Saccharomyces cerevisiae S288C: one gene and its partner. Changing the gene in region 1 together with any one later gene gives a genetic interaction. Each region holds a gene or a part of one and is shown on either strand. Other genes may lie near its edges.

Region 1 (7,603 bases):
TCAGATACCGAATCACGAAGGGAGCAAAGTGTTAATGAAACAGGGCGCAATCAGCTACCCCACAACTCAATGGACGATAAAGATTTGGATTCAAGAGTAAGCGATGAATTCGATGACGATGAATTCGACGAAGATGAATTCGAAGATTAAAGATTCTTGTAGCCGAATATTATTTATAACGATCCATACTGCATATTAAGTAAAATTATGAAGTACTAAGTAACAATTTTTCAATTTTATTTAAGAAAAGAGAAGGAAAAAAAAAAGAAGAAAATTTTTTGATAGAAGAAAAAGGTAAACGATGATTGTTACGTACCAAGTGTTCTTCTGAGCTATTTGGTAATTACATACTTCTTCGAAATGTCAAGGTAAATACTTTTCTATACGCACACGAAACTCGCTTGCTGCAACAGGTATTACGTCAGGTGAAAAAAGCGGCCAAGAGGCAATGCCGAAATACAATGCGTGTATAACAGGAAGAGGAGGGGTATAATAAAATCACCATAGTAGAAAAGACCAGAAAGATTTCTATTGCAATCCTGTGTGACTCTTTTGGTTTTTCCCTTTGGTATCTCCCGGTTCTTTTGTCAATTTTTCGTTAAACTGCAGTGAAATAAGAAAAAGGTGCATGATAAAGATATGGATAACACGACCAATATTAATACAAATGAGCGCTCTAGTAACACGGATTTTAGCTCAGCTCCCAATATCAAAGGTTTGAATAGCCATACTCAGTTGCAGTTTGATGCGGATTCTCGAGTTTTCGTTTCGGATGTAATGGCTAAGAACTCTAAGCAATTATTGTACGCCCATATTTATAACTATTTAATCAAAAACAATTACTGGAACTCTGCCGCAAAATTTTTAAGCGAAGCTGACCTTCCTTTATCTAGAATAAACGGATCTGCTTCGGGTGGGAAAACTAGCTTGAACGCCAGCCTGAAGCAGGGATTAATGGATATTGCATCTAAGGGTGACATTGTTAGTGAAGATGGGCTATTACCTTCGAAAATGCTGATGGACGCTAATGACACGTTTTTACTGGAATGGTGGGAAATTTTTCAATCATTGTTCAATGGAGACCTAGAATCTGGGTACCAACAGGATCATAATCCTTTAAGAGAGAGAATAATACCAATTTTGCCAGCTAATTCTAAATCTAATATGCCTTCCCATTTCTCTAATCTCCCACCAAATGTGATTCCACCAACTCAAAATAGTTTTCCAGTTTCAGAGGAGAGTTTTAGGCCCAATGGTGACGGAAGTAACTTTAATTTAAACGATCCAACCAATCGAAACGTCTCCGAAAGATTTCTATCGAGAACTTCCGGTGTCTACGACAAACAGAATAGCGCTAATTTTGCACCTGATACTGCTATAAACAGTGATATTGCTGGGCAGCAGTACGCAACTATAAATCTACATAAACACTTCAATGATTTGCAATCACCAGCACAGCCCCAGCAATCATCTCAACAGCAGATCCAGCAGCCTCAGCATCAACCCCAGCATCAACCGCAACAGCAACAGCAACAGCAACAACAACAACAACAACAGCAACAGCAACAGCAACAGCAACAGCAGCAACAGCAACAGCAACAGCAACAACATCAACAGCAGCAACAGACACCGTATCCTATTGTCAACCCACAAATGGTCCCTCATATTCCATCGGAAAATTCTCATTCAACCGGACTTATGCCTTCAGTGCCTCCTACAAATCAACAATTTAATGCACAAACCCAATCTTCAATGTTTTCAGACCAGCAGCGCTTCTTTCAATATCAATTACACCACCAAAATCAAGGACAGGCGCCATCTTTTCAGCAAAGCCAATCTGGCAGGTTTGATGACATGAACGCTATGAAAATGTTTTTTCAGCAGCAAGCACTACAGCAAAATTCACTACAGCAAAATCTTGGAAATCAAAATTATCAATCTAATACACGTAACAATACTGCGGAAGAAACTACGCCCACAAATGACAATAACGCAAATGGCAATAGTTTATTGCAAGAACACATACGAGCCCGCTTCAATAAGATGAAAACAATTCCTCAACAAATGAAAAATCAAAGCACTGTCGCAAATCCGGTTGTTAGTGATATAACATCTCAACAGCAGTACATGCATATGATGATGCAAAGAATGGCGGCTAACCAGCAATTACAAAATAGTGCCTTTCCTCCAGACACTAATCGTATAGCGCCAGCTAACAACACTATGCCATTACAACCAGGAAATATGGGGTCTCCTGTCATTGAAAATCCAGGTATGAGGCAGACTAATCCATCCGGACAAAACCCTATGATCAATATGCAGCCCTTATATCAAAATGTTTCTTCCGCAATGCATGCGTTCGCTCCGCAACAACAATTTCATCTACCACAACATTATAAAACCAATACTTCAGTACCACAAAATGATTCTACCTCCGTCTTTCCTTTGCCTAACAATAACAATAACAATAACAACAACAACAATAATAATAATAATAATAATAGTAATAATAGTAATAATAATAATAATAATAATAATAATAATAATAATAGTAATAATACACCCACAGTATCACAACCATCATCAAAATGTACTTCTAGCTCCAGCACAACTCCTAATATAACTACAACAATTCAACCCAAGCGGAAACAGAGAGTGGGTAAAACAAAGACCAAGGAATCAAGAAAAGTTGCTGCAGCTCAGAAAGTTATGAAATCTAAGAAACTGGAACAAAATGGTGATTCAGCTGCTACAAACTTCATCAATGTCACTCCAAAGGACAGTGGCGGTAAGGGTACCGTAAAAGTTCAAAACAGTAACTCGCAGCAACAACTAAATGGCTCTTTTTCTATGGATACAGAAACATTCGACATATTTAACATTGGTGACTTTTCTCCTGATCTAATGGATAGCTAAAACCTATTAAACAACAAAAAGTGTTTCATCGTCATTCTTCCAATACTAACCGTTGCATCTTTTCTTTCATATGAGTAGTATGTTTCTAATTTGAATCTTTAAGAAAATTGTTTGTCTGTATTTGTCGGAACGATTTTTGGGATCATCGTTCAGTGCAGGTGTATCGTTTCTCAAATGAAGTGTGAAACTTACTTCTCACTTAGGTTTTCAAAATAATGGCATATAAAGATGGTCTAACATCTATACATATTTTTGACCAAGCAGGAGTCAATCGTTAGAGTAAGTGAGTATATCAGTTTAGTTATTTTAAATTAGACAATGTAATGGAGGGGTGCCAGTGACACTATATAAAATAAAAAAAAAATTTGCATCTGGTGCGCAATAGCGTTCTTGTAACCAAATTTCTATTCCGGTCGAATTTAAACTAGCAAGAAAATAGGTAAGCAAGCTATCTGGCCAGCTAAAAAGACGGTGCCTCAAAGTTTTCGGAATTTTTATATTTAATTCCTAACATATTTAGAGAAATGTAGCATACTCTTTATACAGAATTCTCCAACTTACTATGGTTTCGTGGTCTAGTCGGTTATGGCATCTGCTTAACACGCAGAACGTCCCCAGTTCGATCCTGGGCGAAATCATTTTTTTGAAGACATCCCGCATGAAAACATCAAAACGTAAATAAAAACACTTGATCTGAAAATAAACTAAACATTCATCTTCACCCAATATCATAAATGATTAGGTGACTACCGGATACTAGACGGTTATAGGAGTTTTATCAAAGGTCAAAATCTCACCCCCTCAATAACTGCTCGGCATACCTCACGCTTATTGCAACAAGTTTGTTTTTACTTACTTGTGAAACGTTTGTTGATTAACTTAATAATGACAACAAACTCACGTCCATCCGCCTTGCAGGCTCCCGGTTTACAGATTTTTTCCATGCTGAAATCAAGCGAAGAGGATGGATTCATGAGTTCTAGTCTAACCCTTGATAGTGATAACATAATAGGTGTCACCGAGAACAATCGTCAAGAATTTTACTCTACGTGGCGAAAACCGTCCCTATTAAGCAGCCGCAGCGTATTACATGAATACTCCCCTACAATTGTGGGATCTAATGACTGTACTTTTTCACCTATAACCGTAGGAAAAACAACGAAGTTTTTTAATTGGGATGATATTATTTCAAGAATTTTCATGCAACAGCCATTCGGTGTAACACACCAATTCTTTGAAGAATTTCGGTATTCAATCATTACTTCTCATTTTTTGAATGATATGAATCATTACAGGTTATCACTACATCTTGATCAATCTATTATGAACTTTCATAAAAGCTCAACTTTGTTAAAGAATGTACCTCCCAAATCTGTACCATTTATGGCGACAAAATATGGTAAATTGGCGGTAGCAGAGGACAAAAAATTATATTTCAGACAAAATTTCAACTACCTTTCGATGATTATAACCTCTTATCGAGTACTTACACAGTTGAAAAAATACTGTAGAAAAAAAAATAGTCCAGGTCTGAAGAGAGTTGTAATTTTAATACTCGTAGCAGTGTATTTATCAATTCAGCAAGAATACTTTCGAAGACATTTGATTTGCTATAAAACCTTATTAAAGGTACGGAAAGTGCTCGAATCATTACAACAAGTGGATGTAATGATTCATAAATATCATCTTCGATTTAAAGAAATAAAAAATCATAGTTTTATATCAAGAGTGTCTCTTATTTCAATTGCTGACGAGCACTCATCTGTGATAAAAGAGCTCCTAGTATTCTCAAGTGATGCACTGTTTTATAAACTCAAATCAATCATTCCAGATATTGTCATCTTTAGCGATACAAGTGAGCTATCGAAATACTGTGAATTATACGGTATCGATGTACCAAATCTTTACTATAATAATACTACCACAGTAAAAGACCTTGATGGTAAGCTTTATCGTCTCAAACTGCTAAAGAAATTTATGCTCTGTTGTTTGCTGTCTTTAGATATGACAGGAAACGAAAATCTTTCAAATGTAAACATGAGAAACGCACTAAACAAAATCTTTCCAGATTACATGGCAAGGGTGCAACTCAAAAAAAAATATAATCCAATAGGTACATTCCAAAATATAGTTAGTCTATTAAGAGGATTACATTCACTACTCTCCACTGTCCTGGTGTCTTTGAATGACCATAAGCAAATATTGTATGCATTTCCTGAAGAAACATCAACTAATACTGGTTGTGAAAGAGCAAATGTATGTTCATTTTCAAAGAATGATAAATTGTTTCAGGCACTTAATTACTTAAAAATGATCGAGAACAATCTATTAGCTATTGACATTCGAAATGGCATAACAGAGAATGATAGGAACATCATTGAGGATAAGTTGGAGGAGCTCATTACTTTCTGGAAAACCTCGAAAATTTGTGGCAATATTTCTAGGATACAAAAGGTATCCCCAACCAATACAATCAACCATGGTTTCCATCTGGATATCCTCAAAGGCAGAAAGTCACCCCGTTCTTCGTCAGTACAAGGTCTTAGCTTAGAGAGGAAAGTTGACTTCATTGATGTTGCTGAATCGGTGAATGACTCTTTTGAAAACGACACCGAACTAGAGGAATATGAAGACTACGACTGTCAGGAGGAATGTTCTGCCGGTTCACGCCAAAATCACCGCGTAGATTTTATCGGAAAGGATAGTTGTAGGAAACCAGATTTCAAGCAACTTTCTGACAACGAATTACGACGCAAGTTAGATGAAAGAATTTTGAAATTGGCTCAAGAAAACCGTGAAGGCAGGGAAAGGCTAAGAACTGCAAAGTCCTTTGAATTGCTAAGAAAAGCTCAGGCTTCCATGTCCGTAAAGTTTGGCTTTCAAAAACCATTAAGAGACGATGCCTTTCTTGAGAGCAGGCCTCTCAGCAAATGCAAAGTATCTTCGGAAGAAACTATCCCATTTTTGTATGAATTAAAAGGATTACTAGGAAATGATTCATGATAATATATTTTAATATGTACTTTGAAATAACTAATTACACTTTAATCATATTTTCTAAATAAGCAAATGACGGGCTGCGCAGCCGGGTTATTTTCGACCCCAGTCTGTCAAGTGCTTTAAGTAAGCGAATATTTAACAAAGAAGAATTCAATATTGCAGGAAGTCTTGAGAAAAGATCAAGTGCCAAATTACCCCATTGCTTTTGGACTATTCATTCACTCTTTTCTTTTTTGTTATTTCTTTTATTTGACCTTTATCGTTATATACACATAGCTTCCATACAGCAAATAAACATCCTAATTGAAGTAGATAATTTAATTCCATTCTTTATTAAAAAGAAAAAAATATTATGGGCATAGCTGATGGGCAAAGAAGAAGATCTTCATCACTACGAACGCAGATGTTCAACAAGCATTTGTATGATAAATATCGCGGAAGAACTGATGATGAGATAGAGTTAGAAGATATAAATGAGAGTAAGACGTTCTCCGGTAGCGATAATAACGATAAAGATGACAGAGATGAAACAAGCGGCAATTATGCTGCTGAAGAGGATTATGAAATGGAAGAGTATGGTAGTCCTGATGTGTCATATAGCATTATCACTAAAATACTTGATACTATCCTAGATCGAAGGAGGACGTTCCATTCGAAAGACGGTAGACATATTCCGATTATATTAGATCATAATGCAATTGAATACAAACAAGCTGCTACTAAAAGGGATGGTCATTTGATAGACGAAAGGTTCAACAAGCCTTACTGCGACAACCGAATAACTTCATCAAGATATACATTCTATTCCTTTTTGCCTAGACAGTTGTATGCACAATTTTCAAAGTTAGCCAATACTTATTTTTTCATTGTCGCAGTATTACAAATGATACCTGGATGGTCTACAACTGGTACTTATACAACTATTATCCCCTTATGTGTATTTATGGGTATATCCATGACAAGAGAGGCTTGGGACGATTTCAGGAGACATCGTTTAGATAAGGAAGAGAACAATAAACCAGTGGGAGTGTTGGTTAAAGATGGAAATAATGACGCACAAGAAGTTTATACACTACCAAGTAGTGTTGTCTCATCCACTGCATATCTAACTAAATCGGCCGCTGCTGAAAATAATCCACCTTTAAACGATGATCGGAACTCCTCTCAAGGACACTTCTTAGACACGCACTTCAATAACTTTGAACTACTCAAGAATAAATACAATGTTCATATTCATCAAAAGAAGTGGGAAAAACTTCGTGTTGGAGACTTCGTACTTCTCACACAAGATGATTGGGTACCTGCAGATCTGCTTTTATTGACATGTGACGGCGAAAATAGCGAATGTTTCGTTGAAACGATGGCTTTAGATGGCGAAACAAATTTGAAAAGTAAACAACCCCATCCAGAATTAAATAAGTTAACCAAAGCCGCATCAGGTCTTGCAAATATTAATGCTCAAGTTACCGTGGAAGATCCCAATATTGATTTATATAATTTTGAAGGTAATCTTGAATTGAAAAACCATCGCAATGATACCATAATGAAATACCCTCTAGGTCCTGATAATGTCATTTATCGTGGTAGTATTTTGAGGAATACTCAAAATGTTGTTGGTATGGTCATTTTCAGTGGTGAGGAAACAAAAATCAGAATGAATGCTTTAAAAAACCCAAGAACGAAAGCC
Region 2 (7,957 bases), on another chromosome or scaffold:
AGAATTAAGAATTTCATAGAAGCCTTCAGTTCTTGGCGAAGTAAAGTGGCAAAACAAATGGAAGATCTATTGCATTACATATATAAAAGCATTAGAACAATCTTTTCTCATTGACAGGTATTCTCATTGCTCTATATATATTTTCTTCTTCTTGAAAGAAATATCAGTATTACAATCATAACAACAACCAAAAGAAAATAACTAATAGACCCCATTACAATATAGAAATGTTTTCCATATTCAATTCACCATGTGTTTTTGAACAGCTGCCATCTTTTAGTCAGCCCCTACATTCGCGTTATTTTGATTGCAGTTCTCCAGTGAGCTATTATCCAGAATGTAAAAGGAGGAAAGCAATAAAAGCTAACCTAAGAGCTCCAAAAAAAAGCGATGCAAATTGTTCAGAACCTTTGAGGTATGCACTTGCTGAAACACCAAATGGTTATACATTAAGCTTGTCTAAGCGGATTCCATATGAACTTTTTTCAAAGTACGTTAATGAGAAATTAGGTGAGCTAAAGGAGAACCATTACAGACCAACTTACCATGTTGTCCAAGATTTTTTTGGAAACCAGTATTATGTTGAAGATGAAGCGGATGAAGATGCTCTATTGAGATCTGCATTGAAAGATCTGGATTTTAGAGCCATAGGAAAGAAAATTGCTAAGGATCTTTTCCAAGACTACGAAATAGAATTGAATCATAGAGGTGATGAATTGAGCATATTGAGTAAGAAGGATAAAATCTTTAAGGAATTCTCTCTAGACCAAGTGTTTGAAGATGTTTTTGTTATTGGCTGTGGAGTTGAAAACATAGATGATGGCTCGAGAGAAAAATATGCACTTTTAAAGATTGGTTTAGTTAAGCATGAGGAAGAAATTTCCGAAGGTGGCATCAACGAACCAAAGATGCCAATAATTGAATCCAAAATAGACGAGTCTCACGATGATGTTAACATGTCTGAATCTTTGAAGGAGGAAGAAGCGGAGAAAGCGAAAGAACCACTAACCAAAGAAGACCAAATAAAAAAATGGATAGAGGAAGAAAGATTGATGCAGGAGGAAAGCAGAAAATCAGAACAGGAAAAAGCTGCCAAGGAAGATGAAGAAAGGCAAAAGAAAGAGAAGGAAGCCAGATTGAAGGCAAGGAAAGAATCTTTGATAAATAAGCAAAAAACCAAGAGGTCCCAGCAAAAAAAATTGCAAAATTCCAAATCATTGCCTATCTCTGAGATTGAGGCCAGCAATAAAAATAATAATAGCAATTCTGGTTCAGCAGAAAGTGATAATGAAAGTATAAACAGTGATTCTGATACGACTTTGGATTTCTCTGTGTCTGGTAATACACTAAAAAAACACGCTTCACCCCTATTAGAAGACGTTGAGGATGAGGAAGTTGACAGATACAACGAGTCCCTAAGCAGATCTCCCAAGGGAAACTCTATTATTGAGGAGATATAATGGGTGATAATACATACTCCCCATCTTTCATTTTTACGGCATTAAATAACTAATTATATGCATCTTATATACTACTATAATTCACTGACTTTATGAAAGGAATATAAATCGGCACGGCAGAAGGCGGATTTATTTTGTTACAATATAACAAAATAAAAGGGCAACAGTAAAGTAGAAATTATTAGTATCCGTGATTTTAGTACAATTATTTGCTTCCTAGAAATCCGGTTTTCCATGTTAACATTTATGCTAGTATTTTATGGTGGAATGGCAAGTGATTCACAAAATACAAGCTACTTTATCGAATGATTGAAATTCATTTCTGCTTGAATAGAATTCAACTATCGTTTATCGATTCTATTTTGAGGATTCCTATACCCTCGAGGAGAACTTCTAGTATATTCTATATACCTAATATTACTACTGTTATTAACAATGGAATCCCAACAATTATCTCAAAATTCACCAATATCTCAATTCCATCTTTAGAAAAATTAAGTTCAAATTAACGGAAACAGTAATCAAGTAAAAGAGCTTTTTTTTTCTTCTCCCCTTCCTGCCCTGAAGATAATTGAGTAAATGTTACGTTGAGAATGGCTTTTTGATATTTCATTAGATTTACTTCATTATTCTTCTCTATTCTCCCCTTTCATCAATTAATTGGGCGTGTGGCGTAGTCGGTAGCGCGCTCCCTTAGCATGGGAGAGGTCTCCGGTTCGATTCCGGACTCGTCCAAATTTTTTTACTTTTAATGAGGTATACTGGAATATTACGGCTCTTTTTTTTTAGAAACATATTCCTCAAATGGGTAAACGGACCCTGGTGCAAGGTGTGGGTGCTGAGACAAATACGATCTGAGTTGTTTTAAAAAGGAAAACAAATGAATGCGTGCCCAAAGCGGAAAATTGGTCAACATCGATGCGTAATTAGTAGGCCCAGGTGAGCCTGTGCCGAACATGTATCTCTGCGCAGATTACTATATATTCCCGAGCATAACAGCATATAGTTTTCTTTCACATAGGCCTTCCTCCAACTGCCATCACTGTACATAGACGTTTCGGCACTGTATATTCTTGTCCCTTTTTTTTTGCCTACTACATTGCTGCATTCAAACGATATCGCTCTGCGAACCGTTTAAAACTGACCAAAATAGGGAGACCTACCTTCTAAGGAGAAAAAATTCGCATTGCTAAAAAAAAGCTAAAAGAGAAAGAGAAGAAGAATATTAAACCAGTATATTCTACTACAACTATCGATTTACTCCGACTACAAAGTGCCTCTTCGTATTTTCAGTCGCTCGAAAAAACAACCCATATTCCATTTGATTCTACGCAGCTGGTAGAAACTTTTACAGGTTTGATAAAATTATTACAATCGTTAGCGGTTACGCAAGGAATAGGAAATAAAGAAACGGTAAATAATAAGAAAAACACAGCAGATCTAAGCCTATTGCACACAGTATATTATAACCATTACTAGCTAGTGTTACATAAACAATAGCAGAATATGTCTGTGCGAAACCTCACCAATAATCGTCATTCCAACAGCGAAAATAGTGTTTCCGGAAGCGAAAACTCCTTTTATTCCTCGAATGAGCAATCAAGACAAAGCTCATCATTAGAACCTGCAGATGGTCAGAACGTTAGGGTGAGCGGTAATCCTTTCCTTGGAAGTGAAGAATTTGACGAAGATTATAATTCACCCAGTGGAGACGATGAGCGGCGTGGGGCAAATGAATATTCCAGTTCTTCATCCATAAATTATAATAACGATCCTAACAGCGATACTTCTCTTCTGGCTAATGAAAAGAACTCACCCGAGAGAAATGGTCAAAGAATGTCAGACTATAAGGGCTATTATGCTAAGACTAACCTAACTTCTGCTAATAACTTAAACAATCATAATAACAATAATTATAAGAACATTATAAGCAGTAGTAACGATAATAGTTTTGCATCACATTTACAGCCGCCGGACAGAAACTTACCGTCTCATCCTTCTTCAAATAATATGAGTAGCTTTTCTAACAACAGCTTAATTAAGTCTCCACCACCTTTTGACAGATATCCGCTAGTAGGAACGAGGCATATTTCAGCGGCTCAATCTCAGTCGCAGAACCTTATAAATGAAAAGAAAAGAGCGAATATGACTGGCTCATCTTCTTCTGCTCACGACTCTTCATTATCATCCACCAACTTATACATGGGCGAACAGGATTTTTCGCCCTTTGGCGGTTATCCAGCTTCCTTCTTTCCGTTAACGTTGGACGAAAAGGAAGACGATGACTACATTCATAATCCAAATGTCGAGGAAGAAGCAAAGTTAGATAGAAGGAGGTTCGTTGACGACTTCAAACACATGGATAGAAGATCTTTCTTGGGGCTTCTGGGTATTCTATTTTTATTTATGGCTGGTATATTTATTTTCATTGTATTACCTGCAATTACATTTTCCGGGGTAGTTTATCATCATGAACATGTTCATGCGGCAAATTCAGCAGGATCGTCGTCTTCTAATACTACATCCAAGTCATTGACTGAATATCAATATCCTCAACTTGCGGCTATAAGGACAACTTTAGTTGATCCAGACACACCTGACAGTGCGAAGACAAGAGTAGCGAAAGATGGATCTAAATGGCAGCTGGTGTTTTCCGATGAATTTAATGCTGAAGGTAGGACCTTTTACGATGGCGATGACCAGTTTTGGACAGCTCCTGACATCCACTACGACGCTACGAAAGATCTTGAATGGTACTCACCAGATGCCGTTACAACTACAAATGGTACCTTGACGTTGAGAATGGATGCATTCAGAAACCATGACCTTTATTACAGATCTGGTATGGTACAGAGCTGGAACAAACTCTGCTTTACAGAAGGTGCGTTAGAAGTTTCCGCGAACCTCCCTAATTATGGTCGAGTTACAGGATTATGGCCTGGTATGTGGACCATGGGGAACTTGGGCAGACCAGGTTATTTGGCGAGTACTCAAGGTGTTTGGCCTTATTCATATGAAGCATGTGACGCTGGTATAACACCAAACCAAAGTTCCCCAGATGGTATTTCTTACTTGCCGGGACAAAAGTTGAGTGTTTGTACTTGTGATAATGAGGATCATCCAAATCAGGGAGTTGGAAGAGGCGCACCGGAAATAGATATTTTAGAAGGTGAAGCTGATACAATTTTGGGTGTTGGTGTTGCGTCACAATCTCTACAAATTGCTCCATTTGATATATGGTACATGCCCGATTATGACTTCATCGAAGTTTATAATTTCACCACAACAACTATGAATACTTACGCTGGTGGGCCTTTTCAACAAGCTGTCTCAGCAATATCCACTTTAAATGTAACATGGTATGAATTTGGGGAGGAAGCAGGTTATTTTCAAAAGTATGCCATTGAATATCTCAATGATGACGACAACGGATATATTCGTTGGTTTGTGGGAGAGAACCCTACTTTCACACTATATGCTACTTCTTTACATCCTAGTGGTAATATTGACTGGAGGAGAATAAGTAAGGAGCCAATGTCAGCGATTTTAAACTTAGGTATTTCCAACAACTGGGCCTATATCGACTGGCAATATATATTTTTCCCGGTGACAATGTCAATAGATTACGTCCGATTATACCAGCCGAAGGGTTCTACGTCCATTACTTGTGATCCTGAGGACTACCCGACATATGATTATATCCAAAGCCATCTAAATGCATATTATAACGCCAATTTAACTGATTGGGAACAGGCTGGATATACTTTCCCAAAAAATATTCTAACAGGAGGTTGTAGTAGTTCAAAATTCTCATTATCCTGAGGTTGATTTTTTTTTTTCAACTGGTTAAAACCTACTATCTAAGTGCGCTTTAATTCTAAGGAGGCAAAATAGTCTGCGGTCACAGTCGTTGAAAGTTCTAGATTTGGGTACGGAAGCAGCCATGTAAATGGTCTTCCTTTGTAATAATATCATCACTGGAGTTTTTAAATTAGAGTACGGATTCAAGTTAGCGAAAAATTTCTGTTGGTATCTGATAGCAATTTGTCGACAAGGTGGAGAGTTTTTGAAGTTTTTTTTTGTAACAGTTATGTTACACTATTTACCAGAGAAACACCAAGACAGGAGCCCTCAGAAGCTTTCGTGTTGTCAGAACATAAATATCTTCTATATGTTTTAATCTTTTATATTAATCAATATTTTATGTTAAATCATATTATTATTCGTTAATGGTTAACTTGCGCTATTTCAAAATTGGAAGGATAGTGTGGTTACAAGCGGTGTTTTTGATGTATGTTTACTGCTAAGAGTATACCGTCCTGTTTACTTTTTTACCTTTTGTTCCGTTATTGATTTTTCGCAGCAAGGTTGAAGCTTCAAATTTGAAAATGAAATTAAGACGTAGAGATGAAAAACAGCGATGAAATTACTTTTTATAGCTTCTTTCCCATCTGACTCCGTTTTATAAACAGGGGTTCTTTAAGGGCTTACAAATAAATATAAACACTAACACATATATATTATTCGACCTACAGTTTTTGCGACCAATGAAGTTTACCTATTTTGAGTTAGTGCTTACGTAGTTTGCTTAAGGTCAAGGTGGTATTAAGCTTGCGCTTTCTCTAAATAATATCATATGGTACAGACAGGGATAAGTACTTCATAATAAACCAATTGCTAGTCCAGTATTTTTGGTACCCTCTTACTGCCGCGAAATTCAACAACTTTTTAACTCGTGAAAGAGGTTAATATTATTATTCATTTTGCTAGAAATACTACTAAACACCCCATTAGGAAGCTGGTAAATTATGAAATCAGCAAAATAAGATCCAACCGGAACGAATTTATTAGAAGCTCAAACACAAGGGTTGATAGTGTGATAAAGGAAAGGGGTGACAACGTGTAGAGGGTAAAACTTATTGATTCCTTTTTGTGGATTCCTATACCCTACAAGAACACTGTTGGATATAGACATTATATGCAATATTAATTATGCGACTGATAGGCTTCGTAATTCCTGCTTGAGTAAAGACAAGAATTTTCATTTCTCATTAACTGTTTTTATTTATAACCTAGGAAAAAAAGGAGCTGAAAATTTGTTGGAATAAAAATCCACTATCTTATATCAACTAGTATTCCTAATGTCAGTATATTGTCATATAAGGCGTTAGATGGTGACATAAGGTATGAAAAGTTGCCATCGAAGTTAGAGGAAGCTGAAATGCAAGCATTGATGTAATAGGATCAATGAATATTAACATATAAAACGATGATAATAATATTTATAGAATTGTGTAGAATTACAGATTCCCTTTTATGGATTCCTAAATCCTTGAGGAGAACTTCTAGTATATCTACATACCTAATATTATAGCCTTAATCACAATGGAATCCCAACAATTACATCAGAACCCACACTCTCTTCAATTATTATGTAGAAATTTCGATTCTATTTTGAGGATTCCTATACCCTCGAGTAGAAATTCTAGTATATCCTACATACCTAACATTATTGCTTTATCAATAATGGAATCCCAACAATTATTGTTACAGGCTACGATATTGCGTATAGAAAAAATGTTGAAAGTTCTTCTGCAAGATACAGGAATCCAAAGGGAATCAATATATCTACCTAATAGTATTATTATTTCTTTTCCATTTTATATGTTTCACTATCCTACTATTTCATCGATCCTCTTATTTAAGCTTTTATTAAACCTAATGACTGTTCTATAACTTTTATGTCCTCTTTTTACATCATAAATGATAATTAATATACTAGTGACATGAATACTAATCGATGGATGGTAGTTTGTTCTTATTCTATCAGGGAAATGCATCAGATAATGGATAAAATGGAAAGAATGGAAAGGAATTGTAACATGCCTATATATGGAAAACGAGCTTTTAGAGCTTTCAAGTTAACCCCGGGCGGTTAGTGTAGTGGTTATCATCCCACCCTTCCAAGGTGGGGACACGGGTTCGATTCTCGTACCGCTCAAGATTACTTTTTTAATTTTCATACTTTTTCTCCTAATATCTTGCAAATCATGACTGAATTGACATTAACTGATGCAAATGGGTGGGAAAAATGCTTATCAACCCCCTAAAAAGTCAACTTCTTCGTTAGTGATTGCTATATGTGGCGTCAAGAATTACAAGAAGCTGGCGAGCTTTCCAAGCCCCTTCAGGATTAACCGTTTTTTACCCTTTTTTTACAAATTTACGGCGGGGAATAATTCTGATACTTTCTCTTTATGAGCATTCCTCAACAGGGATCGGCACTCAATTGCTTTAGTGAATAGTTTTTTTTTACGCCAAGAACATTTACCACCCCATTTTCCTGTAGACGTCCAAAACGATACTCTACTTTAAGCCCTTTTTCTGAAGTTTTCATAAAATGTCCGATCTCCTAACGTCATTTTTAAAATCAAATGGTCTTTTAATAATTATGCACGTTAAAAAACATACATAATTGATAGTAAAGAATCTGGTAT

Evidence for each region.
Region 2: mutations in INP2 (region 1) and SKN1 together harm fitness more than expected from each alone (negative genetic interaction), as found in Saccharomyces cerevisiae (one large-scale study listed by BioGRID).

The regions. Positions count from the first base shown.
Region 1 is NC_001145.3:582,587-590,189, reverse strand, and holds INP2 (Inp2p), read left to right. Parts: upstream 1-3,801; coding exon 3,802-5,919; downstream 5,920-7,603. Other genes in the region: phosphatidate phosphatase PAH1, read left to right, coding at 1-150; MSS11 (Mss11p), read left to right, coding at 640-2,916; aminophospholipid-translocating P4-type ATPase DNF3, read left to right, coding at 6,269-7,603. UniProt on the Saccharomyces cerevisiae protein: Required for peroxisome inheritance. Acts as the peroxisome-specific receptor for the myosin V motor MYO2.
Region 2 is NC_001139.9:772,227-780,183, forward strand, and holds SKN1 (beta-glucan synthesis-associated protein SKN1), read left to right. Parts: upstream 1-2,966; coding exon 2,967-5,282; downstream 5,283-7,957. Other genes in the region: BTN2 (Btn2p), read left to right, coding at 228-1,460. UniProt on the Saccharomyces cerevisiae protein: Required for synthesis of the major beta-glucans of the yeast cell wall.